7 linked regions of the Oryctolagus cuniculus genome follow. The protein of the gene in region 3 interacts with the protein of the main gene of each other region in a pairwise test. Links are inferred from orthologs where the notes say so. Each region holds a gene or a part of one and is shown on either strand. Other genes may lie near its edges. The genes, in order: LONRF1, CBY2, NTAQ1, BLMH, PNMA5, GNMT and EDARADD.

Region 1 (3,500 bases), on a different chromosome or scaffold from region 3:
TAAGTAGGATTCTACAGTATTACACTGCTAAGTTAGCAAGGCTTGTGGAGGTCAGGCCATGCCATGTTTCTTCAGTTTGGCACATTATCTATGTGAAGCAGAAATATGTGCTATTATAGTGTAAGAACATACTGTAATAATTCTGCGTGGAAAAAGAGCCTCCCAGTTCTTCTGAGACTTGTTGGCATTTCTATAGGATTAGTGATATGGACGGGGGAAATTAGACACAGAAGTCTCATTGCCTATTTTCTTTCCAGGTTGAAAATGAAGATGAAATAAAGAACCTCAGAGAGCTTCATGATTTGGTGTACTCTCAAGCCTGCAGCTGGTTTCAGAATTTAAGAGACAGATTTCGAAGCCAAATTCTTCAGCACTTTGGATCAATGCCTGAGAGGGAGGAAAACCTTCAGGTAAGATGACTTTGATATTGCTTCCAAAGGTCTCTCTTTTTTGTAAGCCCAGATTAGTAGATTTTTAAATTTAACTTCCAATTGCCTTTAAAAGTATTTATTTTGAGAGATAGATAGATAGATAGATAGATACACACGCACACACACACAATAAGAAAGAATTCTCCCACCTACTGCTTCCCACCCTAAATGACTGCAGCAGCTAGGGCTGGGCCAAACCAAAGTCAGGATATGGGAATGTAATCTGGATCTCCCACCTGGGTGGTAGCAACCCAAATACTTTAGCCGTCACCAGCTGCTTCCAGGGTGTCCATCAGCAGGCAGCTGGGATTGGGAGTAGAGCCAGGACTCAGACCCAGACACTCCAGTATGGGAGTGGATGTCCCAAGTGGCATCTTAACTGTAGGCCAAATGCTACCGCGCATTTGCCTTTTTGTGCAGCATTTCCATTGGCTTCCTGCCTTCAGGATCATGGCCTTATTCTCCAGAATGGTGATGTCCATTACATTTCACATAGCTAGGAAACAGATGTCAGCTCAGATACCTGTGGGAGGCAGCGCTGCATGGGGAGAAAGTCCTTAACTGACCATTTTCTGGAAGGAACAATAAGGAATTTATAGTGGGACATAACCATCTAGTCAGCTGTGACTGTGAGAAAACCATACCTTCACACCTTGGAGCCAGTCAGCTGTTGCTGTTATTCTTTAACAGTTGAGAGATATATCATCTTGCATACACAAAAAAGTCATTTGTCTCTGGGAGTGGGTGTTCAGTGGTTCAGATGCCTGTGTTCCACATTAGAATACCTCAGTTACATACAAGGCTGTGGTTCTTGACTCCAGCTTCCTACCCATGTCCCTTAGGCGGCAGCAGTGGTAGCTCAAGCAGTTGGCTTCCTGCCATTTATGTGGAATACCTGGGTTGAGTTTCTGACTCTCAGCTCTGGCTCCTCCCCACCTCAGCTGTTTCAGCCACTTGGGGAGTGTCCCAGCGTAAGGAAACTCTCTCTGTGTCTGTGCCTCTCAAATAAATACAGTTTTAAAACAGGTGTATTTTTTTCATGTCTCATTTTATTACCAATATTCTACTCCATAGCCTCTCAATCCATTTTCTGTGTCTTCATATTTAATACTTCACTCCTCCTGAAACTTTTTTTTTAATGGTCTTTCACAGATACTTGGAGTTTACATTGAGCTTAATTTAATTACCGTGTATCAAGCACTTTCTGTACAAGCAGATCTGTGTAGAAGGCAGTGAAGAAGGCATGAAAGAAGGGCTGCTGTGCTGGGAACTCTGGTTATAGACTCATCAAAGCACTCACTTTCAGACCTGAGCATCCTGACTCGCATAGTGTTTGTGATCAGAAAGTGATAGATTTCGTAAAGGAATAGCTTCAAGTAGGTAGATGAAAATGGAGAGATAATAGATCTCATTGTGAACCATACTGTCTCTCATTCTGATTGCCAAAGTTGTTTAAAATCTGGCTGAATCCCAGTTGAATCCTTCACTTAAACTTGAAATTTCAGCATAAGACCATCTCCATATTGAGTACAGTGCTCATTCTGTATCTAGCGTATTATCAGTCGCCACACATTTGTTTTATTCTGGCTACCTGGTGCTGATTAAACATGACAAAAATAGGCTCTGACAAGAACGAAATTGAATGAGTAAATTTTAAGCATTAAAAATAGCTTCTAGAAAAAGCCAGCATTACTTTCCCATGACCTTCACCACCCTCGTCTTTTATCACCCAGCTGTCTACCATTGCTCCCTGTCAGTCATCCTCTATAAATCAAGATTCAGTCAGGAACACTAAGGCAGTCATTCCACAGTCCAGGAACAAAATGTTTAATGAAGGGTGCACAGTTCATACACACTGGAAGAGCTGGGTGGGTGCAGGTGATGTTGTCTCCAGCAGGGTCCAGGAGTCTGTGCACAGACCTCTGTCTGATATTCCGTCTCTGTCTGACGGTTCTCGAGAGCTTGCCGGGGAGCTGCTATGGTTTTAGAGATCCTGGGGAGTTTCCACCAGTGTATCAGTCTGCAGCCTTGCTGCAGGTGGTTTTCAAGAATTCTCTGGAAAACTGCTGTCCATGCTTTGCAAAGTCTCTGGAGAATAGCTTCTCTTCCAATTTCTGGCTCTCACAAGAGTGCCTCATGTTGGTCAAGTCTAACTTGGAACCATACAGGGTAGGGAACTCTGGGAAATGTTGTTTCTGACACTACTGCAATACAGAATGAATTGAGAACAGATAATATACTATGTAGAAATAAAATCTGGTCCTAAGGGAAGCTTATTTAGATCAGTGCCAGCATAGCTTTATTTGTCATTCTGAAGCTCCATTTTTCAGGGCCAATGAAAAGCACTTCAATATGTAGTAGGATGGCTTATAAATTTGCTTATGTAGATTTCCTAGTTCTGCACCCTTCATTAAACCCTTCATTTCTGGACTGTGGAACTACTGCCTTAGCTTTCCTGACTGCATCTTGATTCTGCAAAATGACTGACCAAGAGCTATAGTTCTTTCTGTATCCAGTAGTCAGTCCCTGTACCATCAGAGGGACCCTATTGCTAGAGGTATGTTTATTTTCAAAGTAAAAGAAACAGAGACACCCCTTTTTTTTGTATTTTTCTTTAGGATTTTATAATTCTTTGAAGAAATTTTAAAGTATCAATTAACTTTTTTAATGCTTTAAATACATATTTTAAGAAGACAGTTCTTAACTAAGGGTGCTTTTACACCACAGGACATTTGGCACTCTCTAGAGAAATTTTTGGCTAGCACACCTGGAGAGGTGCTCCTTGCATCTAGTGGGTAGTGGTCAGAGATGCTACTGAGTGTGCCACAGTGCACAGGACAGCCCCACACCACCAAGGGATTATCTGTGTCAGTAGCCTGAGCTCAGGAAGCCCTGCTTTGAGGCAGTACTGTACAGGGGAAAGGGTGTTGTCTGTGGAGTCGGGTCTGGCTTTGAATCTTGACTCTGCACACAGGAGTCTAGAGATCTTGGGCAATTTGTATTACATTTCTAAGTGTCTTCAGTGTGTATGAGCAGAATAATAGCCTACCTTACATGATTGTTAAGGGA
Region 2 (4,147 bases), on a different chromosome or scaffold from region 3:
AAGACTTATAGAGCTAAGAGGTGACCTGGTGCAGCCAAGTGAGTATGGATATTGACCTGGTTCAAGATCCTGACTCCAACCCTACTATTACCTGAAGGGCTCTAGGAATTCCTGGTTCCCATACCTAGAAAATCTTACATTTGCGTGTCTTTGTGCTCAAAACATGATATGATCAATAGATCAATATTCAGTCAACACTTCTCCCCCTCTTTTCTCCTCTGCCAATGCTTACCTCCAATTGTGTGCACCATCTCATGTTGGGAGAGTTAGCAAACACATCATCTTTCTCACAGCACTAGTGGTGGTTTGCCCACTTCCTTCCTGCAGATGACTAGTCTACAGTATCCTGGAAGGTGCCTTCAACCTGCTTCCTGGTTGTGCTTCTTTGTCATGTGTACCCCTGAGGCCACATCTGTCCACATGGGGTACATGTGCCCAGATAATTGCTGAACATTTTCCTCACTGTACACCCACCCTGTCTTCCAACTGCCCAACAGCTGTACCAGGTCCTATAGCACAGAAAGTGGGTGGCCCCAGGACAAGCCAGGGACATAGTCTCAAGCCTCCTTTTCTCCTCCTTGATTGCTAGGATGTTTCTGGGAGTGGATAGGGGAAGTTGTGCTGGATATAGATAGAAGAATCTCTCCAATCTTTCTATCATGTGACCATCACTTATTTAAATCCTATTCCCACCCTCACTGTCACCTCCACCCCACCCTGGATTGGCATCTTCTACCCATCCTTTAACAATGGAAAGATTGAATTACACAGGCTATGAAGAATCAAAGGAGCAACACCGACCATCAAAAGGAATAGTGTCCAATGGAATTCCCTGTATACAACAGAAAGAATTGGACCTAGAAAGGTTCCTGTAGCTTATCATCATCCTGTCAAATGATCAGCAATGCTATATTCTGGCTAAGTCTCATGAGCTGAAACAGATAGAAAGTGTCTGTTACTTGCAGAGTTTTAAGGATAATGTGAAAACAAACATCCAGAATATTTTCTTGTCCTCTATTTGTGCCTCCTGCTGAACATACATGCCTAGATTGTTCAGTCACATACATAGAATGCCCACTGGTGACCCACCCTCCTACATGACTCTGGACAGAGCTGTCAGATAGTTACCTCTGCATTGGATCTCTCCATTCTACATTTCAACCCCTCTGACTGCATGCCCATGGTCTTCCAAAGGGGCCTTGAGTGACTCTGGGAGAAGCAAGGCCATGCCCTTTGTGACATAACAGCAGTAGAAACAATCCAATCAAGAGAACCCCACCAAGGAAACAGCCACTTGCAGGAGAAGACCTTAGAATCTCCAGCCTGTTGGCTGGTGCCGCAGCTCACTAGGCTAATCCTCCGCCTCGCGGCGCCGGCACACCAAGTTCTAGTCCTGGTAGGGGTGCTGGATTCTGTCCCGGTTGCCCCTCTTCCAGGCCAGCTCTCTGCTGTGGCCCGGGAGTGCAGTGGAGGATGGCCCAAGTGCTTGGCTCCCTGCACCCCACAGGAGACCAGGAGAAGCACCTGGCTCCTGCCATCGGATCAGCGCGGTGCGCTGGCCACAGCGCGCCAGCCACGGCGGCCATTGGAGAGTGAACCAACGGCAAAGGAAGACCTTTCTCTCTGTCTCTCTCACTGTCCACTCTGCCTGTAAAAAAAAAAAAAAAAAAAAAAAAAAAAAAAAAAAAAAAAAAATCCAGCCTGTCAGAACTGCACCTACACATTGTCCTAAAAAAACAAACAAGCAAAACAAACAAAACCATGCACGTATCCTTTATGCTCTCTCTTTGGTACACAGCAGGGCTTAATTCTATTGACATCTCCAAATGATACCTTAGCATCCAGTCAATGTGCTAGGTTTTCTCCTCATGGACTCATTCGTAAGCATTTGACCCCAAGCCCCAGGTCTACTTGTCCCCCTAGAAATCCAGAGTGCTAATACATCACCAAGCACCAAAGATCTCCCTTTGAGGATGAATATTTGATTGTTTTTTGTTTTTTTTTGTTTTCAGTCTAGCATAGAAACTTGAAATGTTAGGGTGGCCAGGTCATCTAATTCACACTCCTCGTATGAGAGAAGAGGAACCCAAGGCCCACAGAGGCCATGTTTCCTCCCCCAGGCACAGAATGGGTGGGTGGTCAAATGCACAACTAGAATCGGAGGCCTTGACTCTTCAGCTTACTCCACATCAGGCTGGAGTTTTGGAAGAGGAGTGTTATTCTGCCTTAAACGGGCAGATTTCATCCTTCTGTGATTAATCCTACCTGAGGCAGAACCACATTGATTGGGATTTCTAGGCTTTCAGATCTGGTATCTCGTTTTCTTGTAAAATTTGGCCTCGAGTGCTGTAGAAAAGAGAAAAGAGGAAAATTTCTGTTGCCCAACCCACCCTCTGGGCCTCCATTGCTCATCTGACAATTATAGGACTTTCTACTCATTTATTTGCTTCTTGTCAATTAGGTACATTATGAAAATCTGCATCTGCAAATGTGTGTGGACAATCTCTGATATTTTATTAAACAAATTCATACAGATACTATAGCTGATGTCTTTGAAGCACTGATTGCTAATATCTACATCCTTGTGTAAGACTACTGTTTCCCTCCCAAGCAAAAAGCCATACCAATGTGAGGTGCCAGGTATAGGTCCTGTGCAGAAGTTGGTCACCAAAACACTCAGAACATTCCAGAGGTGACATCACAAAACAATATGGTGTTCTGCAGGGCTCATGGTTTCTCTCTGAGCGTCACAGGTGGGAACGAAGCATCTGGCAGGTAGGAAGAGTTTTGCAGCATCTGTGACCACGTGGCTAAGTAGGGTCAGTGTGACACACAATACCCCAAACACCAGGCCCTGATTGGTCATCCCCACTGCCAGGCCGTCCTCTCTCCAGAAGGGGCATTATCTACTTGTAGTTGTATTGCTCAAGAAGAAATACCAACTGAATTCCCAGACCAAAGGAGGAAAGAGGGACTCAGGAGCTTTGTGGCACCACTTGATTCCCCAGGGCTGTCACCAGTGGACGCCCTGAAACCATCGACCTGGAGCGAGTGCCAGATCCCAGAGGTTAGGTGCTCAGTCCCACCAAGCTGCCTTCACCTCAGATGCCACTTGTACCATTGACTGATCAGCTATAAACCAGGAGTTCCATGACCCCTTCTTTGGCTTCAATAATTTGCAAGAATGGCTCACAGAACTCAAGAAAACACTTTACTTATGATGACCATTTTCTTATAAGGGGCACAACTCAGGAACACCAAATAGACGGGATGCACAGGGAAGGTATTGGGCATTGAGGGTGGTGTGGAGTGGCCGTGCCAGCCCTGGGCAGCCACTCTCCCAGCACGTCCACGTGTCCTCCCACCAGGAAACTCTCTGAACCCCACTGTTGAGGTTTCATTACACAGGCGTGGTTGTTTAAATCTCCAGCCCCTCCCCCCTTCCTAGAGGTAGGGGTTGGGGGGTGGTGATGAGAGTTTCCTCTTTTTAATCACATGGTCAGTTTTTCTGGCGGCAGCCCCCAGCCTTCAAGGGTTGCCTCATTAGCTGAAACTCAGGTGTGTTCCAAAGGGGCTCATTATGAATAACAAAAGACACAGAGGAAATGCCAAGGATTTTAGGAGCTCTGTGCCAGGAATCAAGGACAAAAGCAGAGTTTATTTTCTTATTATACCACGGAGGTAACAGCATCAAGACCACAATGCCCCATGCCCTGGCCTCACTTCGGGCAAATCATTCACCACTAGAGGCTGTTCATGGGAGCCTTTTCTTGTACCGTAAGCCAGTGGCACACCCCAACCCTACGTGCAGTAAGAAGGGAATGACGGACCAGAGGCAGCAGATCCTGAGACACCAGCCAGAACCACCTTTTTGAGTCCCCCACACCCAAATTTACAAGAAAGCTTTGCTTTAAGACCTAACATGCGGCCGGCGCCGTGGATCACTTGGCTAGTCCTCCACCTGCGGCGCCGGCACACCGGGTTCTAGTCCCCGTTGGGGCGCCAGTTCTGTCCCGGTTGCTTCTCTTACAGTCCAGCTCTCTGCTGTGGCCCAGGAGTGCAGTGGAGGATGGCCCAAGTGCTTGGGCCCTGCACCCCATGGGAGACCAGGAGAAGCACCTGGCTCCTGGCTTTGGATCAGCGAAGC
Region 3 (2,441 bases):
TGGCAAGAAAAACTCAAAAGAGCCACTTGTAAATGAGTTTATGGTCCTTTGATCTCCCTGAAACGTTTCTGCTCAGGACAAAGTCTTTTTGCAGCACTGCCTGCCAAAATTTATCTTCTTTACTTTAGCCATGAACTTGATAAGCCCTCTGAAACTCCATGAAGAGATCTCAGGGTGGGCTCCATATTTAGCTCTGTTATAAAACAACTTAAGAGGTGGTATCTATATTCTTCCTACCAAAAGCTCCCTGGCTTTCTCCCAGAATCTTCCTGGTCATCTGAACCAATGCGCTCAGTCACATTCCCTTAGACTATTGGATGCTTCAGTAAATGTCTAAGTCTTACCCTCCACAGCACAAAGCAGATGACTCACATCAAACCCGAGTGTCTTAATAAGGCCAAGACTCATCTAAGAACAAAAGCTTAGTCATCCTTGCTGTAGGAAGTCATTCGTTTTCACAATGGAACCACACAAACATGAATGAGAGCTGGTACAATATGCCAGGTTAATGTCAAATATCTTTTATTTGGAATGACATGATTAAAGCCAGATTTCCAAGACACCCTCACAAAGGCAGAGGAGATAAATGAATTTTAAAGCACTGGTTCTCATCTATGACTGACACACTGTTGGGTGTCTCAGATCATCAACAATGACACAAAAATCTTCAAAACAAAAATAATTCTCAATCAATTTTATTCAAAACCATAAATAAACAGGCCAAGTAAGAGAGGACTGCGATCTTCTAAACATCACAGCCCAGGAAGACTAATATTTATTGCTGACTCAGCTCACAACATTATCCCTTTTAAAAACAGCAGCACGGTCACAAGAAAATGTTTCATGGGCACCTCACACGAGCATCAGAGCTTCCCAGAGCAAGGCGCCGCGGCTCTGCCCCCAGGAGCTTCCAGTGCAGCTGGAGAGACACTGCAGACATCCAGAACACACAGGAGGACCCAGGGCTCAGTCCACACCCAACAGGAGCAATCACTGGCGGAAGTCATCATACACCTTACAAGTGAGCCACAGGAATTTCTTAGCTTACACGCTAAATCAAGTTTCAACTTGACACAGCAAAAAAAAAAAAAATTTTTTTTTTACTTAGTGTGTTTATACTTGTGTTCATTCGTGTTTCCACTCAATTGAATTAAGGGAGGAAAAACATAATTCCAGGCCAACTGTACCATAATGTTCATTGTCCTAAGTGAAGGGATGGCTTGTTCAGGTCCTAAATTTTTCCACAGTTCCACGTCCTGATGTCGAGCTCAGCAGCTTTTACTGCCAAACCGATGTGCAAATTCGGATAGCGTGTAGACAGCGCCCCATCCCACCTTAGGGTCCATACTGATGAAATCATTCAGGTTCATTTTGGAATCTAGAAAAATACATGAAAGAAATGTCTACTGAAAACACGATTTGGGTTTAACAGCAACAAAACAACTCCAAACACCACAGGAGGGAAACTGTTCAAGTGGGTAAGGGTTCAATGTCACTTCTGCGGTATGCTGGCCTTTGGCACAACCTCTACCTCATCACGACAAAACGTCACACAAACCCAAAGCGAGGGACACCCTACAAAATAACAGGCTTCAAAAGCATAAAGGCTGTAAAAGAAACATAGGGAGAAAAAAACTAGCACAGATCAGAGGGAACTGGAAAGACATGAAAAGGTAACCATAATATCATGGGGTTAGATTCTGGACCAGAACAAGCAAATTAGAGAAAAAAACAAAACCTAAAGAAGTTAATAGTACTGTGTCATAATAATATATCACTGTTTTTGTGCCATTGTATCATTTTCCTGGTTCAAGTAACTGTATTGCTATTATGTAAGACTTAACACTAAGGGAACCTAAGTGAAAACTACACAGAAACTCTGTCCTGTTTCAGCAAATTACCTAGAAACCAAAATTATTTCAAAATAAAAGTGAAAAAGTACATGAATAATCAAACAGCCAATTTAGTGGTTTCAATGGCCAATGTACAGGAAATTCAAAGAACATGCCGAGATATAATCAGCAAAGCCAGACTGTTTCTCTCAGACCCAGTTTCTTCAAATTACAAGTAAAAAAGTTAATGAGACTTTTAAAAGACATGTCAGGGGGCTGGTGCTGTGGTGTAGCAGGTAAAGCCGCTGCCTGCAGTGCTGGTATCCCATATAGGCACTAGTTCAAGTCCTGGATGCTTCACTTCCAACCCAGCTCTCTGCTATGGCCTGGGAAAGCAGTGGAGGATAACCCAAGCACCTGGGCCCCTGCACCGGTGTGGGAGACCTAGAAGAAGCTCCTGGCTCTGGATTGGCGCAGTTCCATTTGTTATGGCCATCTAGGGACCAAACCAGTGGATGGAAGACCTCTCTCTCTCTGCCTCTGTAACTTTGCCTTTCAAATAAATAAATTGTAAAAAAAAAAAAAAAAAAAAAAAAAAAGACGTATCAG
Region 4 (4,208 bases), on a different chromosome or scaffold from region 3:
GAGACAGACAGCCATCTTCTGCTGCTTTTCCAGCTGCGCCAGCAGGGAACTGGATCAGAAGTGGTGCAGTTGGTCTTGAACCACTGCCCACATGGGATGCTGGCATCACAGGTGGTGGCTTTACTCACTCTGCCACACCGCCAACCCTATTTTATTTTTTAGAAAGATGCGTTTATTCATTTGAAAGTCAGAGTTATAGAGAGAGAAGGAGAGAGAAAGGGAGAGAGAGAGAGATTGTCCATCCATTGGTCACTCCCCAGATGGCTGCAAGAGCTTGGGCTGTGCCAGGCTGGAGCCAGAAGCATCATCTAGGTCTCCCCCATGAGTGTCAGGGACCCAAACTCTTAAGCCATCCTTTGCTGCATTTCCTGGGCCATTAGTGGGGAGCTGGATAGGAAGTGGAACCTCCAGGACACAAACTGGTGCCCATATAGGATGCTGGCGAGTCAGGTAGCAGCTTCACCTACTTCGCCACAACACTGGCCCCTTAATTCAACTTTAATTTGCATTTCCATCATTATTATTTATTTGCCGTTCATGCTTCTTTTTTGTGAGATATCTGTTTAGTTTTCTGTTCCTTTTTATATTATGTTGTTCATCTCTTTCCTATGAATATTTAGGCATTTGTAAAATATATCTTTAAATTAAATGTGTCATTGGGCCGGCGCTGTGGTGCAACAGGTTAATGCTCTGTCCTGAAGCGCTGGCATCCCATATGGGCACCAGTTTGAGACCCAGCTGCTCCACTTCCAATCCAGCTCTCTGTTATGGCCTGGAAAAGGAGTGCAAGATGGCCCAAGTCCTTGGGCCCCTGAACCCATGTGGGAGACTCAGAAGAAGCCTCTGGCTCCTGGTTTTGGATTGGCGCAGCTCCGGCTGTTGCAGCCATCTGGAGAGTGAACCAGCGATGGAAGACCTCTCTCTCTCTCTCTCTCTCTCTCTCTCTCTTTCTCTGCCTCTCCTCTTTCTGTGTAACTCTGACTTTCAAATAAATAAATAAATAAAATCTTAAAAAATAAATTAAATATGTCACAGATACCTGCAAGGTATCCTTTAAAAACAGAAATTGAATCATGCCCTTTCATCCCTTAAAACCCTACAATGCCTTCCTGTCATACTTAGAATAAAATTTGAACTCTTGCTACGGTGCAGCAAACAGCAAGGCTAACTCTCAGTTCCCGCTCCTCCCCTGCAGGACTGCGAAGCAGCAGTGCAGGCTGGGGCACTGGCCGGCGCCCCCCACCCCCACCCCCACCCCCGGGGAAGGCCTGATTGGCATGAGAGTAATTACATTCCCCTTGCCAATGACCGGAACAAGAAAAGTCTCATGACCTCATTTTGGACAACAAAATTCAGAGAGAGAGAGAGAGAGAGAGAGGCTGAGAGGTCCCAGGAAAGTTGTTCGTACTCTTAGGAGAGACAGAGAAAAAGTCAGACGTTTTCCCACCGGACTTAAAAAACAAAGCATGAGGAGAGCCGGAGGTTGCCGCTTCCGCCATGGGAGGCTGATCCTGGAGCTGGGGAGAAGCTGATCCTGTACCTCCCTGGTGAGTGCTGCGTGCTGTGTGTTTCTGTTAAGGCCTGACACACGCTTTTCCTTCTGGATGCTTTCTCTCATAGACCCTTGCGAGCCTGGGTCTTTTCTCTCTTCAAAAAAAAATTAACGCTTTTTTACTTGAGAGGCAGACACACACACACACACACACACACACAGATCCTATCTGCTCTTCCGCCCTGCCAAATGCCTACGACGACTGGGACTTGGCCAAGCCAAAGCCAGGCACCAGAATCTGAAGCTGGGAACTCAATCCAGGTCTCCCAAGTGGGTGACCTGGCCATGGGCCATTACCTGCTGCATCCCACGGTCTGCATTAGCAGAAAGCTGGTGTCAGGAGCCAGAGGTAGGAATCAAACCCAGGGACTCTGACCTGGAACGCAGGGCGTCTTAACTGCATTCGCCTCAGGCTGGCTCCTTACTGAACTCACTCTCAGCCCAAACAGTCCCCTCTTCTCAATGGCTTTTCCAGTGACCACTACCCCTGGCCAGTCACTGTCACGTGAACCTGTTTTATTTCCTGTAGGCCACTAATATATTTGTTTATTGTTTGGGTCCACTAGGATGTAAGCACCAGAATGTGGAGGACGTCGCCTCCCTATTTTCCCTGTGTATTTCTCTACCCAGTATAGCTTAATCAGTAATTTTTTAAATTGTCTGTGTATTTGAAGGTCAGAGTCACAGAGAGAGAGAGAGGGAGAGAGAGAGAGATCCTCGGTCTGTTGATTCACTCCCCAGATGTCTGCAACAGCGGGGGCCGAGCCAAGCTGGAGCCAAGAGCCAGGAACCTCATCCAGGTCCCCCACATGAGAGACAGGGGCCCAAACACTAGGGCCATCCTCCTGCACCCTTCTCAGGCCACCAGCATGGAGCTGGATGGGAAGTGGAGCAGCCAGGACACAAACTGGTGCCCACATGGAATGCTGGCATCACAGGCAGTGGCAGCGTTACCGCTATGCCACAGTGCTGGCTCCCCAATCAATATTTTCATCTTATTTTTTTTTAAATGATGAATTTTGTTGCTTATTTTCTGCACTAGATTGGAGCTCCTTGAAGTCAGGGAGTACATCTTACTGGTCTTTGTGTCTCAAGTGTCTAGTTCACTTGCTGCCAGACGGTGGGTGTTCAGAAAGCAGTTGAGTGAATGAATCAGATGCAGGGAAGGGAGAGCGATTGGGGAGAAATAGAATCCCAGTGTATTGCTTTTGAACTTTTTTTTTTTTTTTTTTTTTTTTTTTTTGACAGGCAGAGTGGACAGTGAGAGAGAGACACAGAGAGAAAGGTCTTCCTTTGCCGTTGGTTCACCCTCCAATGGCCGCCGCTGCAGCCGGCGCACCGCGCTGATCCGATGGCAGGAGCCAGGAGCCAGGTGCTTTTCCTGGTCTCCCATGGGGTGCAGGGCCCAAGCACCTGGGCCATCCTCCACTGCACTCCCTGGCCATAGCAGAGAGCTGGCCTGGAAGAGGGGCAACCGGGACAGAATCCGGCGCCCTGACCGGGACTAGAACCCGGTGTGCCGGCGCCGCAAGGTGGAGGATTAGCCTATTGAGCCACGGCGCCGGCCAAGAATCCCAGTGTATTGCTTTTGGACAACATCCGTTGAATACAATTCTCTTTCATTTGTCTCACTGCCTGTAGGTATTCTAGTAGCCCTATAAATAAAGGATGCATGACTTTCAACATGCTTTGCTAGCTGGTAACCTTCTTTTCAACCTCATCTCTCACCTCCTACATATGTAACATTTCTTTTTTTTTTTTTTTTTGAAAAAATATTTATTTATTTATTTTGGAAGTCAGAGTTACAGAGAGTGAGGGATCTTCCATCTGCTGGTTCACTCCCCAGATGGTCTCAATAGCCAGGGCTGGACCAGGCCGAAGGTAAGAGCCAGGAGCTTTATCTGGGTCTTCCATGTGGGTGATAAGAACACAAACACTTTGACAATCTTCCACTGCTTTTCCCAAGCTATTAGCAGGGAGCTGGATTGGAAGTGGAGCATCTGGGTTATGAACTGGAGCTCACATGGGATGCCAGCATTGCAGGTGGTGTCTTCACCCGCTGTGCCACAATACTGGCCCCTGTATAAAGCATTTCTCACCCCAAATGTTGCAGGCATTCGGGGAGTAAGCCAATGGATAGAAGATCTCTCTCCTTATCATTTATTCTTTCTTTCTTTCTTTTTTTTTTTTTTTTGACAGGCAGAGTGGACAGTGAGAGAGAGACACAGAGAGAAAGGTCTTCCTTTGCCGTTGGTTCACCCTCCAATGGCCACCATGGCTGGTGTGCTGCGGCCGGCACACTGTGCTGATCCGAAGCCAGGAGCCAGGTGCTTCTCCTGGTCTCCCATGCGGGTGCAGGGCCCAAACACTTGGGCCATCCTCCACTGCACCCCCAGGCCACAGCAGAGAGCTGGCCTGGAAGAGGGGCAACCGGGACAGAATCCGGTGCCCCGACCGGGACTAGAACCCCGGGTGCCAGCGCCGCAGGTGGAGGATTAGCCTAGTGAGCCGCGGCGCCGGCCGATCATTTATTCTACACTCCTACCACAGCAATGTCTAGAAAAATTGACTTTTATGATAGGAATACAATTCTGAAGCCTTCACACAAAATTAAAAACTTCTATAATTTAGTGCTATTTTTCTCATAACATAAAAT
Region 5 (4,276 bases), on a different chromosome or scaffold from region 3:
GCCACAACACAAAAGGCTGAGGGGTTTCTTAACCTTCTGGGTGGTCCGGGTTTACAGGGTTCAGGTAAAATGCACCATGATCTCCTCCTCATCCCTCAGCAACTTTTTGTTTTTAAGGAAAGACTAGGGAGGAGCCAAGTCTAGCAGTGAGAAGTAGAATGAAGTACAGAGGTGCTCAGGACAGCTCTGCTCACAGCCTGTATGAGACTGGGCAGCTGGTGGTGTCATCCAGAGGGTGCTGTGGACTGCTGTAAGGAGAGCCGTCTGGTCTGTGACCACGTGGCAGCGCCAAGTAATCATTTTCTCCAGTAAGGAGAAGGAAATTAATTTAAGAGATAGTCCAAAGTATGTTCTTGTTAAGTACGCAGTATAGGGGTCTGGGTTACAGTGTCATGTCTCACCTAGGAAAAATTTTCAATTAAAGGAGAATAATGCAATATTTGTATGTATCTTACTTGGTGACATTTAGTTTTAAAAGTTTTCTGCTTTTCACATTTTCATTAAAATATGATTTTAAAAAAGGCCTGTTATTCGTACCAAATACAGCAAAACTTACGTTCTGTCAGCTTACAACTTCTGGCTCTGGTAATCTCAGAGCAGTGCTACACAAAGCATGGGCAGGGAACTGCAATAGCCGCTAGAGTTTTGGTACTTTTGCAGACTCTGAGCTCTGCCAAGACCTCCTGACTCACAACTTGAACCGCTACTATCACCTGCTCTGGGAAATGTGTGTGCACTTTGTAAACTGCTACCAGTGTCCCACCAGTGCCCTTTGCTGGGACAGGACTTTAGGGTCCCCAGTAGCCCCAAGGAAAACAGCTAAGTCTTCCCTCTGTGGAAGAAACCTGCTTTGGGAAAGAAAAGAGAGAAGTTTCGGTACCTCGTGGGTAATTCTCATGCAATCACGAGAATAATGAGAGAATGAAATCTTGATAGTTTCCTGTATCTCAATGAGCCTTGAAAATTGCATGCATTTGTAAAATGAAGGTAGTAGCTGTATTTTTTATTTTTTGCCGTCCCCTAGGACACAGTGGATAAAAATTAACAAGGACAGAGACGTTTGGTTAGTTAGTAGGTACCGAGCTTGTAGTTTGCACCTGGACCTATACTTTGCACATAGCCCTGTGTGCATAGCTTGGAATACACAAACAGGAGGAGCCACTGGTGAAAGTCAGAGCCAGTCCCAGTCCAATGGGTGAGAGACACCTATCATAGTAGCCGCAATGGTTGCTGGGACTGATGTGACAGGTGGTGGTCCTGTCGGCCTCTATTGAGCACGTACAAGCTGGACTGTGAGCAACTCTGCAACGCAACAGTTCTCAGTATGGTTTGAATTCTCTGTTCCCCCTCCAGTCATGACTCAGAGGAGAAACGTGCGGTGGACAGGGCACAACCCCTTTATTGCAGGAGTGGGGTGGAGGTGGAGATGGGGGTGGGCGTGGCCGTAGACGTTGCCGGGATGCATCTGCGAGTGGGCGGTGCTGAAGACCGTTGCTTACCCGACAATTTCTTTCCCGCCACAAACTCGCGGCTCATTCCGTACAGTGGCGGCGGCAGAGTGGCCACGCTGCACGGGCGCTGTGGCCTGGAGGCATTCCCAGAAGGTAAGGAGCTGGGTTTGGGCACAAAAGGGAACCAAGGTTACAACAGATTCCCTCCAATGATCCTGGTTGACCTCCATGAGGTCCCAGGGGCCAGTGGCCTTAGATTCCCCTGGAAGCAGAATCCTAGGGGTCCCTGATATTTCCAGTTATCATGAGTGGCCTCAGAACTTTAGGAGGGCCCATTCTACCCCAAACCTGCCCAGACGTAGCAGTAAGGACAACTGGTTCTGGCCCTTATCCTTGAGGGAAAGTGGCTTTGGCCATTCCTGTTCTAGCCTCTAGCTACCTCTGCTGACTAGATGTGTCCCTGCTCAGAGTAGTGGAAAGGGTGTGTGAGGTTAGGAGTGAATGGGACAGCCTGATGGGTACAGGAGGTTAAAGATAATGAGGTGGGGGAAAGGAGTACAGGGAAATGGAAGTGAGGAACTTGGGTGGGTGCAGGACGTGCACATGAATGGCGGAGTGTATGACACTCGGATGGACACAGAGTTTGGCGGTTCAGTGGCTCTTGGTGAAAGTGGCTTTTGGCGCCAGAAATGGCGCTTGCGCAAGACGCAGTTTGCCGGTTCAGTGGATCTTCAGAGGTTGGCTTTTGGCGCCAGGAATGGCGCTTGCGTGGACGCAGAGTTTGGCGCCAGAGGTGGGGCTTACGTGGACGCAGAGTTAGACGGCAGGGGTGGGGCTTGCGTGGACGCAGAGTGTTGCGCCGGGGTGGGACTTGCGTGGACGCAGAGTTTGACGGCAGGGGTGGGGCTTGCGTGGACGCAGAGTGTTGCGCCGGGGTGGGGCTTGCGTGGACGCAGAGTTTGACGGCAGAGGTGGGACTTGCATGGACGTAGAGTGTTGCACCAGAGATGGAACTTGCGTGGACGCAGAGTTTGACGGCAGGGGTGGGGCTTGCGTGGACGCAGAGTTTGGCACCAGAGGTGGGGCTTACGTGGACGCAGAGTTAGACGGCAGGGGTGGGGCTTGCGTGGACGCAGAGTGTTGCGCCGGGGTGGGACTTGCGTGGACGCAGAGTTTGACGGCAGGGGTGGGGCTTGCGTGGACGCAGAGTGTTGCGCCGGGGTGGGACTTGCGTGGACGCAGAGTTTGGCGCCAGAGGTGGGGCTTGCGTGGACGCAGAGTTTGACGGCAGGGGTGGAGCTTGTGTGGACGCAGAGTGTTGCGCCGGGGTGGGGCTTGCGTGGACGCAGAGTTTGACGGCAGAGGTGGGACTTGCATGGACGTAGAGTGTTGCACCAGAGATGGAACTTGCGTGGACGCAGAGTTTGACGGCAGGGGTGGGGCTTGCGTGGACGCAGATTAGACGGCAGGGGTGGGGCTTGCGTGGACGCAGATTAGACGGCAGAGGTGGGGCTTGCGTGGACGCAGAGTTTGACGGCAGAGGTGGGACTTGCATGGACGTAGAGTGTTGCACCAGAGATGGAGCTTGCATGGACGCAGAGTGTTGCGCCGGGGTGGGACTTGTGTGGACGCAGAGTTTGGCGCCAGAGGTGGGGCTTACGTGGACGCAGAGTTAGACGGCAGGGGTGGGGCTTGCATGGACGCAGAGTGTTGCGCCGGGGTGGGACTTGCGTGGACGCAGAGTTTGGCGCCAGAGGTGGGGCTTACGTGGACGCAGAGTTAGACGGCAGGGGTGGGGCTTGCGTGGACGCAGAGTGTTGCGCCGGGGTGGGACTTGCGTGGACGCAGAGTTTGACGGCAGGGGTGGGGCTTGCGTGGACACAGAGTGTTGCGCCGGGGTGGGGCTTGCGTGGACGCAGAGTTTGACGGCAGAGGTGGGACTTGCATGGACGTAGAGTGTTGCACCAGAGATGGAACTTGCGTGGACGCAGAGTTTGACGGCAGGGGTGGGGCTTGCGTGGACGCAGAGTTTGGCACCAGAGGTGGGGCTTACGTGGACGCAGAGTTAGACGGCAGGGGTGGGGCTTGCGTGGACGCAGAGTTTGGTGCAAGGAGTGGGGCTTGCGTGGACGCAGTTACATGGCAGGCGTGAGGCTTAGGTGGATGCAGAGCTTGGCCTTGGGGGTGTGGCTTGAGTGGAGGTGGGATTTGGGGCTTGGTGGGTGGGATTTTTCCCTGGGGGTGGAGCAGCAGTTTCTTGTATTCGTGAGCAGATTCAAAATTGGCACATCCTGAGCAGGGCATTTGGGACGTAACCACAGTGAAATACCTCTGCCTTGCTTTGGACAGATCCAGTGAAGGGATCCTGATCCATCTAACCTGGTTCGGGAACTGCCTGACAGGACAGAGCTGGAGAGCAAGCTGAGTGCCTGATTACATCAGAATCACAAACTCTACACGGCCAGTGGAATCCACACTGCCAAGTCGTCAAGTAAGTTATTTTGGAAGGTGAGCCTCTGTGACCCTGGCAAAGGACAAGGGGACAAAGGCTGCCTTCCAGGATCCACACACTCTGCAGGGTAGGGCCACACCTAGGGTGACAGTTGTCTGTTTCCTGCAGCGGGACAGTGGGAACCCTTCGTTGGGTCCCTTTTCTGCCCCTAATTCTAGCTGCTACACAATATGAAACCTTAAGCACTTGTTTTTTCAGCACTCAGTCCTTGCTGCTCACCTCACCCCCATCTCCCCTTCACTCTCCCAGCTCCCTTGCTGCTAGGACATTTCCATTGGCTGGAGGATAGTGACATCACCTGTTGCTCTTCAAG
Region 6 (4,225 bases), on a different chromosome or scaffold from region 3:
GTGCGGGTGGAGGCGGCATCCACATCATGGTCTCAGTGGCACTTTCCTAAATCCACCTTAGTCAGGGTCTTGTCCTTGGGAGAGAAATTTGGAAAACTTACTGCTCCGGGCAGTAAGGGTAGACATGCACTAAGCAAACCAAATGACTAATTTGTTTATTTCATTTGAAAGGCAGAGAGACAAGAGACAGAGAGACATACAGGCTAACAGAGAGAGCCCCATCCACTGGTTCACTCCCCACATCCCCACAACAGCCAGGGCTGGAGCAGGCCGAATCCAGGAGCCTGGAACTCAGTTCCCATCTCCCACATGGTCACCTGCTGCCTCCTTGGGTCAGCACTGTTAAGAAGCTGGAACAGGAAGTGGAGCCAGGACTTGAATCTCGGCACTTCGATATGGGATGTGGGTGTCCCTGAGTGGAGTCTTAACAGCCAGGCCAGATGCCCACTCTCAAATGCCCAACTTACAAAGAGACAGTGTGAGGGTCTCCCGGGCCCCTCGAAGACCCCAGCAACGGGGTCATGGAACATGTCCTGGCCAGCGACAGTCAGCCCAGGTCTGTGTCCCCAGGTTAGGATCCACATTTGCAGCGGTTGTCAGCTTCCAGCTGGCCTGCGTGGCCCTGGCTCCCTCGCAGTGTATTTTAGTAAATCTAACTCTGCTCACTCTCCGCTCTGGTGAATTCTCGCTGCCTGCCACACAGGCCTCAAATGGTCACTTCCCACGACAGATGGGAACAATAAAATAGCAAGGGCACCGAGCATGCTCACTCCTGCCCCTGTATGTGTGACCCTGTGGGCGCCTGGAGGGAAGCAGATGGTCTTTAGTGCCCAGTGGACCAGATGTTAGAAGCGGGTGGGCGGGGGGTAGGAACCACACTCAGCCTTAGCAGGCTCAGGGGGAATCCTGAAGTGTCTGTCGCCTACACAACAGCGACACACCTGCTCCAGGTGGGCAGGGATGCTTCTTCCTCCAGTCAGGGCTCTGTCCCTGACTGTGGGAAACGGAGCGGCACCATCCCCAGGACGCCTCGTGCCCGGGCTTTCCTGGCTGCCGGGCCTTCCTCCTGTACGCCCATCGCCTCGCCGCGCGGTCCAGTCCTGCCGCTCCCCGCCCCCGCCCCTCACCCCGCTCAGCTCGGTGTGGGTTTTGAAGTGCTCTTCCCTTTTTCCCAACCGGAGCAGGCGTGGAGAGGGCCCTGTGCCTCCCGGGGCCGTCCTGCAGGTGCGGGCCGAGTGGGCAGCAGGTTCCTTCCCACGTGGGCTTGTCCAAAGGGCTGGGTGCTGAACTGCCGGGCAGCGCCTTGCCCGAAGTCCCGGCAGCAGCGGGCTCGCGGCCACGAGTCCAGGAGGGGCGTGTCCCCGCGCTCACCTGCCATTGGCCAGGTGAGGCTGCCGGGTCGACCGCCGCGGCCGAGCTATAAGTGCCGAAGCCGAGGTTGCGGGGCCCAGGCGCGGTCAGGATGGTGGACAGCGTGTACCGGACCCGCTCTCTGGGGGTGGCGGCCGAAGGCCTCCCGGACCAGTACGCGGACGGGGAGGCGGCGCGCGTGTGGCAGCTCTACATCGGGGACACCCGCAGCCGTACCTCCGAGTACAAGACGTGGCTGCTCGGGCTGCTGCGGCAGCACGGCTGCCGGCGGGTGCTCGACGTGGCCTGCGGCACCGGGTGAGCCCGAGCGGGGTAGGGGGGCGACCAGGGGTCGGCTTGGCCCGGCCGCCAAACCACATGGCAGGCAGGAGCCAGGGCCCAGGAGCGCCGCCGCCGCCTCCGGGGGAAGAAGGGGTGCGGCGAGTGTCCGGGCGAGGGCGGAGGGAGAGCGGGGGTGAGGGTGCGCGGGCCTGGGCCTGGGCCGCAATGAGAGCGATCAGGGCGCAGAGCAGGAGCCGGACTTTGGGGCCAGCCCTGATCCTGGCTCCCACCTGGCCCCTCCAGCCCTGACCTTGGGCAGCGTTAACAATTGCTCAGCGTGCGTACATGCCAAGCGCTGCACCAGGAACTTGTGTTCCTGCTGTTTTTCAAACCCTCACAAAACCCCATGGGGGTGAGTAGTGCTAATCCGCACTCACTCCTGGGGAAGTGAGGGCTCAAAGTCAGTCAAGGCCCCACCTGGTGCGGAGGAGACACCACCCCAGGTTGGTTAGGGTCGCGCCACTGCGCTGTCCTGCTTCTGGGGCTATAACTTAACTCCAGGAACTGCAAGTTGTCCCTTTCTCAAAGGCAGCTCACACACCTGCCCCAGAGTCCCTGGGAGGATTAATGCAGTTTGCACATTGCCTGGCTCTGCAAAGGTGCTCGTTAAGAGGCGCCCCCTGGTGATCAGCTGCAGATTTGCCAGGTCATCTGAGGGCAGTGAGAAGGCAGAGGAAGCCTGGGCCTCTGGAGTTGGGACAGAGGGGCTCCACTTGCCAGGGGCCTCCTTGTCTTCCCAGGCCCCTGACTGCCCCTCTCCGACCCTGTGCAGGGTGGACTCCATCATGCTGGTGGAGGAGGGCTTCAGTGTGACGAGTGTGGATGCCAGTGACAAGATGCTGAAGTATGCGCTTAAAGAGCGCTGGAACCGGCGGCACGAGCCTGCCTTCGACAAATGGGGTATGCAGTTCCGGCTGGGCGCAGCCCAGAGACGCCGTCCTCTCTGCCCTGGGTGCCAGGGCTGGGCAGGGGGACAGCTGGTTCTCCTCAAGGGGACAGCAAAACGGTCATCTCTCTGAGGAGGAAGGCTTGGGTACCAGAATGGGGCAGTGAGTGTGAGAGCTTTAACTGGCCCTCCCCCCAAATGAACACACACACACAGCCCCCACCTCTCTTGACCCCTCCATGTCCATCAAGACCCCCTCCTAACTGGATAGGATTGCGCACGCATGCAGGTGGGTGTGCATCTTAAAGAACAAACAGGCAGGACTGCACTTGGTGGAGGGGTGCTAGTCATGCCACGAGGTTACCCTGCTTCCTCTTCTCCCGCCTGGCCCCATAGTCATAGAAGAAGCCAACTGGATGACTCTGGATAAAGACGTACCCCAGCCAGCAGGGGGTGGCTTTGATGCGGTCATCTGCCTTGGAAACAGTTTTGCCCACCTGCCAGACTGCAAAGGTGAGAGGTGTGGTCTCGGGCAGGCAGAGCCTTGCCTTGAACCCCACCCCTTTCCACAGACCCCTGGGAGCCTGCCCTCCTGCCAAAGCACACTCTGCTCTCTGCCCTCCTGTGCCGCAGTGCTGGAGCCCCTGGGGAGGAGACGGATGGGGGGAGGCTGGCGCTAGGGGCCCTGAGCTGACCGAGCCTCTGCCTGGAGCTCAGGGGACCAGAGCGAGCACCGGCAGGCGCTGAAGAACATTGCAAGCATGGTGCGCACCGGGGGCCTGCTGGTCATCGACCACCGCAACTACGACCACATCCTCAGCACGGGCTGTGCGCCCCCCGGGAAGAACATCTACTACAAGGTGAGCCCCCCAGGAGGGAGGGGCCGCAGTGCACGGTGTGAGCCTGGGCTCCAGGGCCCCACGGTGGGTGACAGAGGCTCACACAGCCTGTACCACTGCCCAGAGTGACCTGACCAAGGACGTCACGACGTCAGTGCTGACAGTGAACAACAAAGCCCACATGGTGACCCTGGACTACACGGTGCAGGTGCCGGCGGCTGGCCAGGACGGCCCTCCGAGCTTGAGGTAACACTGGGCTTGGCGGAGGTGAGGTGGCCATGAGGGGAGCCGGGGCCAGCAGGCCTCACGGCTGGCTGGGGCTCTGTTGCAGTAAGTTCCGGCTCTCCTACTACCCACACTGTCTGGCACCCTTCACGGAGTTGCTGCGAGCAGCCTTCGAGGGCAAGTGCCAGCACAGCGTCCTGGGCGACTTCAAGCCTTACCAGCCGGGCCAGGCCTACGTTCCCTGCTACTTCATCCACGTGCTCAAGAGGACAGCCTGAGTGCGGCCGCAGCTCCCACAGCCTCCTGCCCGACCTGGGGAGGGGGGCCCGGCAGCCCCACGCCCAGCCCCTCTGTCCCTGCAGGTGCTGGGGGTGTGGGTTCAGGCCAAAGGTAGAGTAAGCAATACAGCCTGTGCCTTGTCGGATCCTGCAGGCTTTGTGTTTCTATGTTGCTCTTCTCCACACCAAACAGTCCTGCCACAACACCAGCAGGGGGCGGCATACACTTTATTTTCAGCCACTGTGAGGGCCCAATCCCCAGCTCTCCTGAGCAGCTGGCCTGGGGCAGGAGATGCCTGGTGAGC
Region 7 (3,984 bases), on a different chromosome or scaffold from region 3:
TCTTTCAGATGCCTGAATATGTTCTTCAACGTCATCTGCCAAGTGATGGGGAGGTCTCAACCTTAGGAGGTCTCCCTCATCTTTGTGGGACACTCAAATCTACCTCTGTCTAAAGAGTTCACCCAGAGCTGGCGCTGTAGTTCACTTGGTTAATCCTCCACCAGCGGCACCGGCATCCCATATGGGCGCCAGGTTCTAGTCCTGGTTGCTCTTCTTCCAGTCCAGCTCTCTGCTGTGGCCCGTGAAGGCAATGGAGGATGGCCCAGGTGCTTGGGCCCCTGCACCCGCATGGGAGACCAGGAGAAGTACCTGGCTCCTGGCTTCGGATCGGTGTAGCTCCGGCCATGGCGGCCATTTGGGGGATGAACCAACGGAAGGAAGACCTTTCTCTCTGTCTCTCTCTCTAACTCTGTCAAAAAAAAAAAAAAAAAAAAAAGAGTTCACCCACAGATTTCCATTCTGCCTTTTAAAGAGCTAGATTCTTTATATAGGACGCTCTCCTACCATCAAATCTTCTGTTCTCTCATCATTCCACAGATGCTGCTGGGATTTCAAAGTCCCTTTATTCCAGGTTATGCACTGGTTCCAAGCTGACCAGGCCAAGCAGGCTACAAGCACCATCACTGGAATCACAGACCCTGGAGTGCTGTTACTGACATCTGAGATTACGTTTGCCCACCTGGTGGCCATATCAAACGATCAACTCACTGGGGCTTTTCATATACCGATGCCACTGCCTAGCTGTGTTTCCTAGCTCCCTCCCACCTCCCCCTGCTTGCCGCAGCCCATCAGGGGCCCAAGCATATTTCACATTTATCCCCATTCAATGACTCTCTCTCAAGATCATTGTGAATCCCACCCCTCATCATCACTTAATGAAATCTGAGAGCACTATTAGTGAAATCTAGCCTAAAACACCTCTTGGCTCCTTGTCAATTCCTTTCTTAGAAGAGGAGGTAGATCCAGGGATGGAAGTGAGGATAGGGGAGTGGGAGAGGGTTTCCTCCTTTCCGTGCCCTTGTGTTTCTCCAAACAATGGGAGATGGGGGTATGGAGAGGGAAAGGACGTCCAGTCTAGGTATGGTCCATCTCCAGTTGATAAATGTTTATCATTCCCACTTGAAGATGAATTTCAATTTTTCTTTGATGGCTCCTGGAAACCCCCCTGGCCGTTCACCGTTCACAGCGCCAGTTTGGCTGTTGGTTTAATCTACTGAGCACCTCTGACACGTTCTATCTTCTCCTAACTGCTCAAGCCACAAAGCACCAAGGAAGGGTCAAGCTCTGCCCCCTGCCTAAGCTCAAGAAACACAATAGGGAACACATTCATCTCAGCAGTTTTTTCTGGCTCTCCCTAGCATTTCCAACCTCAGCAAAAGCAGACAAAGCACCAGTGTAATCTGGGGAATACATAATTCATTCACTTTTATGTTCAATAAAATTGTGGAGCTCACGGCCTAGGTTATGTGCCACCGGGGACAGAGAATTCCTGCAAGGTGAAGTATGAAGATTTCAATTCAAGTGAGAGATTAAAGAAAAATCTAAAGTCCGGCCTCAGGTACAAAACACTCAGTATTTTAAAATAAGGGTAAAACTAGAGCCTATTTTCTAAATCCAAGGCCTCCACACGAGCAGCAGAATTCTTCTGTGGGACCAGCCCCTAGGTTCTGTGAATATTAGTTTATAAAATAGCTCCAAGGACCACTATTTACAAAAGTGTTTAAAGAAAAAAGAATCGAGGAGAAAGAGCAGATAATGAGAAGGAATGTGAGTGAGGATTCACAGACAGCACTGTTACACTCCTTTCAGTTAGAGTTTTCTGGGGGCTTGTTTCAACCTGGCACCCTGGGCCCGGAACAGAAGCTGCTGGGGTCGCCACACAGCCAGAGGACAGCGTCAGGCACGCGTAGGGAAATCAGAAGCAGGGGCCATGGAGAGTGCTGGGGGCAACGGCTCCAACCAAAAGCCGCCCAGGGGGCCAGAGTAGGGGGTGCCACCGCTGCACCCAGCCCAGCCACTCGGGGCCCAGGTGGCCCCCGGGATACCCCTTGGGGTCACCGAGGCTCTGCCCCGACACCCCGCCGCATCCGTGGGTGCCTCGCGAGCTCCCGGCCAGTGGTCCCCGCTCCAGGTGGGTGCGCAGCGCGGTGTCACTTTACCTGCGCGCAGAGGGTCGTCCGGAGAAGCCATGGGGGCAGGATGGGGGCAGACGAGCGCCCGAGTCGGGCTGGGCGGCCTCCGGGACTGGGGAGGAGAGCGGGACCACAGTAAAATCCTGCTCTTCCAACGCGCTCCCAGCAAAGCTAGGCAGCTCTGCGCGCCCCTGCTCCACCTCCACCTCCTCCTCCTCCTCTACCTCCTCCTCCTTCTCCCCGTCTCCGTTTCCACCGCTTCTTCCTCGTGCTCACTTCCTGCTTTGCCAATTAGCAAAGCCCCTTCTCTGCGCGTCCCTCCCTCCAGAGGCGTGCGGCGGGGGCCGAGGCTCCAAGGCAGCAGGCTGGAGCGCAGAGAGAGCTCCCGCCCCCCGCCCCCGCTGGGGTCCAGGGCATCCCCTGTGCCCCTGGTGCACTTCCTGTCCCGCGCCCACGTTCCCCTGTGCGGGTCCCACCGCGGGGCTAAGACTATTGCAGCCACGGGACAGACGAAACGGCCGCCGCAGGTCGCCTTCCCGGCTCCCTAATCGCTCCCCAGCTGGGACTCACCTCACACAGGCCTGGGCCGAGATGCCTGCCGGCGATCTGATATTTAAACAATTTCCTCATCTTTAGACAGACTGTGCCGCTGCATGATGGCACACGCTAATACTTTCTATTTGGATTGTTCTTTGGCATTAGTTATTACATGACCTCCAGGGTGAATGCTACACAAAGCAGACTTGAGGCGCACACTCATAGCCTCTCTAGAAAACACTGCTTCAGGTTCTCTGGGAAATGCTCAACTGGTCCTCTAAAAATATAACTTGTTTGATTCAAATGGGATTTTATACCACTTCCTTAAGTGAGCATTGATTGCAATAATTTATTAAGAATATATTTAATATTGCTACATTTTAACTAAACATTTAATTAAAACTTAATTTATTATTGGAATGTTACAGGCAATTTAAATTTACTAGGAATCTCTAAAGAGTTTTAAATCATTGATACCTTCATACCTAAGAACTCAATCACAAAAATTGGTTTGAAAGAGTTAAGAATAGTAGTTAGTGTACAATATTATCAGTCAGTTACCGTACGGAAGTAACCTCTAGCTGAACACTGAGCCCTGAAAGATTCAGGAGAGTGGCAAGTGTCTACATACCCTCTTGGTGACCAGCAGGTTGCTTTGTGCCTCTCCCCATCTGTTTAGTCGTCCTGAGGCCCATGGCACATTGAAGACTGCCGTCTTATTCTCTGGAATTTTCCATGGAAGAAATACGTTCAAGAGAAGAGGGTGCTCACTGTATGCTGAACCACAGCAAAAACTTGAAGACGAAAGCTCTTGCAAATTTGTGGGTGGGAGGATAAACTTCCTCTTGGTCTACCTTCTGATAGGAAGGGAATTTTTTTAAGGGTATTTTCTCATAGAATCCATTTTGAGGTTTGGTTTGTGGTTCTTTCTGTACTTTACATGCAGATGGAATTGTTTGTGAGGTTGGCTGTCAGGAACCACAAGTCAAGTTAGGCTCTCTCTTTCTCAGCAGCACAACCTCAAGTGTCACTCTAATGAGGGTTTGCTTTACAAAACTCTGAACTGTAATTCATCCTCTTATCATGCCTATCTTTCACTATATCAAATAGAAGCTGGGTGGTAGAAATGCATTTTAAGGTTAATTTTTTCAGAAAGAAGACTGATGAGGTACATGTTTTTCCCTTTCATTCCATTTTTTTGTGCCTCCTTCCCTATGAATCAAAATCTCTTCATCATTATCTTTTTTTTCCTGTGTGCTTTGTGATATATAAAGTATAATGCAAATGGAAGCTATGATATTTTGAAATTTACAAA

What was found.
Region 1: the proteins of NTAQ1 (region 3) and LONRF1 interact in binary tests that used the Homo sapiens proteins (3 or more experiments, as listed by UniProt). The two-hybrid records come from large-scale screens. The link is inferred for Oryctolagus cuniculus from reciprocal best matches to the Homo sapiens genes NTAQ1 and LONRF1.
Region 2: the proteins of NTAQ1 (region 3) and CBY2 interact in binary tests that used the Homo sapiens proteins (3 or more experiments, as listed by UniProt). The two-hybrid records come from large-scale screens. The link is inferred for Oryctolagus cuniculus from reciprocal best matches to the Homo sapiens genes NTAQ1 and CBY2.
Region 4: the proteins of NTAQ1 (region 3) and BLMH interact in binary tests that used the Homo sapiens proteins (3 or more experiments, as listed by UniProt). The two-hybrid records come from large-scale screens. The link is inferred for Oryctolagus cuniculus from reciprocal best matches to the Homo sapiens genes NTAQ1 and BLMH.
Region 5: the proteins of NTAQ1 (region 3) and PNMA5 interact in binary tests that used the Homo sapiens proteins (3 or more experiments, as listed by UniProt). The two-hybrid records come from large-scale screens. The link is inferred for Oryctolagus cuniculus from reciprocal best matches to the Homo sapiens genes NTAQ1 and PNMA5.
Region 6: the proteins of NTAQ1 (region 3) and GNMT interact in binary tests that used the Homo sapiens proteins (3 or more experiments, as listed by UniProt). The two-hybrid records come from large-scale screens. The link is inferred for Oryctolagus cuniculus from reciprocal best matches to the Homo sapiens genes NTAQ1 and GNMT.
Region 7: the proteins of NTAQ1 (region 3) and EDARADD interact in binary tests that used the Homo sapiens proteins (3 or more experiments, as listed by UniProt). The two-hybrid records come from large-scale screens. The link is inferred for Oryctolagus cuniculus from reciprocal best matches to the Homo sapiens genes NTAQ1 and EDARADD.

Annotation. Positions count from the first base shown.
Region 1 is NC_091433.1:78,025,142-78,028,641, forward strand, and holds part of LONRF1 (LON peptidase N-terminal domain and RING finger protein 1), read left to right. Parts: intron 1-257; coding exon 258-410; intron 411-1,583; coding exon of another isoform or gene 1,584-1,667; exon of another isoform or gene 1,668-3,500.
Region 2 is NC_091440.1:64,764,256-64,768,402, reverse strand, and holds the start of CBY2 (protein chibby homolog 2), read right to left. Parts: upstream 2,801-4,147; 5' UTR 2,700-2,800; coding exon 2,625-2,699; intron 2,347-2,624; coding exon 2,266-2,346; intron 1,258-2,265; exon of another isoform or gene 1,243-1,257; coding exon of another isoform or gene 1,129-1,242; intron 1-1,128.
Region 3 is NC_091437.1:149,158,463-149,160,903, reverse strand, and holds the end of NTAQ1 (protein N-terminal glutamine amidohydrolase), read right to left. Parts: intron 1,379-2,441; coding exon 1,269-1,378; 3' UTR 501-1,268; downstream 1-500. UniProt on the Homo sapiens protein: Mediates the side-chain deamidation of N-terminal glutamine residues to glutamate, an important step in N-end rule pathway of protein degradation.
Region 4 is NC_091448.1:45,698,746-45,702,953, reverse strand, and holds the start of BLMH (bleomycin hydrolase), read left to right. Parts: upstream 1-1,408; 5' UTR 1,409-1,547; intron 1,548-4,208. UniProt on the Homo sapiens protein: The normal physiological role of BLM hydrolase is unknown, but it catalyzes the inactivation of the antitumor drug BLM (a glycopeptide) by hydrolyzing the carboxamide bond of its B-aminoalaninamide moiety thus protecting normal and malignant cells from BLM toxicity.
Region 5 is NC_091453.1:131,406,284-131,410,559, reverse strand, and holds the start of PNMA5 (paraneoplastic antigen-like protein 5), read left to right. Parts: upstream 1-1,476; 5' UTR 1,477-1,604; intron 1,605-3,800; 5' UTR 3,801-3,942; intron 3,943-4,276.
Region 6 is NC_091436.1:127,046,987-127,051,211, reverse strand, and holds GNMT (glycine N-methyltransferase), read left to right. Parts: upstream 1-1,425; 5' UTR 1,426-1,462; coding exon 1,463-1,668; intron 1,669-2,464; coding exon 2,465-2,592; intron 2,593-2,974; coding exon 2,975-3,091; intron 3,092-3,295; coding exon 3,296-3,438; intron 3,439-3,541; coding exon 3,542-3,663; intron 3,664-3,748; coding exon 3,749-3,920; 3' UTR 3,921-4,066; downstream 4,067-4,225. UniProt on the Homo sapiens protein: Catalyzes the methylation of glycine by using S-adenosylmethionine (AdoMet) to form N-methylglycine (sarcosine) with the concomitant production of S-adenosylhomocysteine (AdoHcy), a reaction regulated by the binding of 5-methyltetrahydrofolate.
Region 7 is NC_091444.1:61,364,979-61,368,962, forward strand, and holds the start of EDARADD (ectodysplasin-A receptor-associated adapter protein), read right to left. Parts: upstream 2,801-3,984; 5' UTR 2,763-2,800; coding exon 2,703-2,762; intron 2,245-2,702; coding exon 2,160-2,244; intron 1-2,159. UniProt on the Homo sapiens protein: Adapter protein that interacts with EDAR DEATH domain and couples the receptor to EDA signaling pathway during morphogenesis of ectodermal organs. Mediates the activation of NF-kappa-B.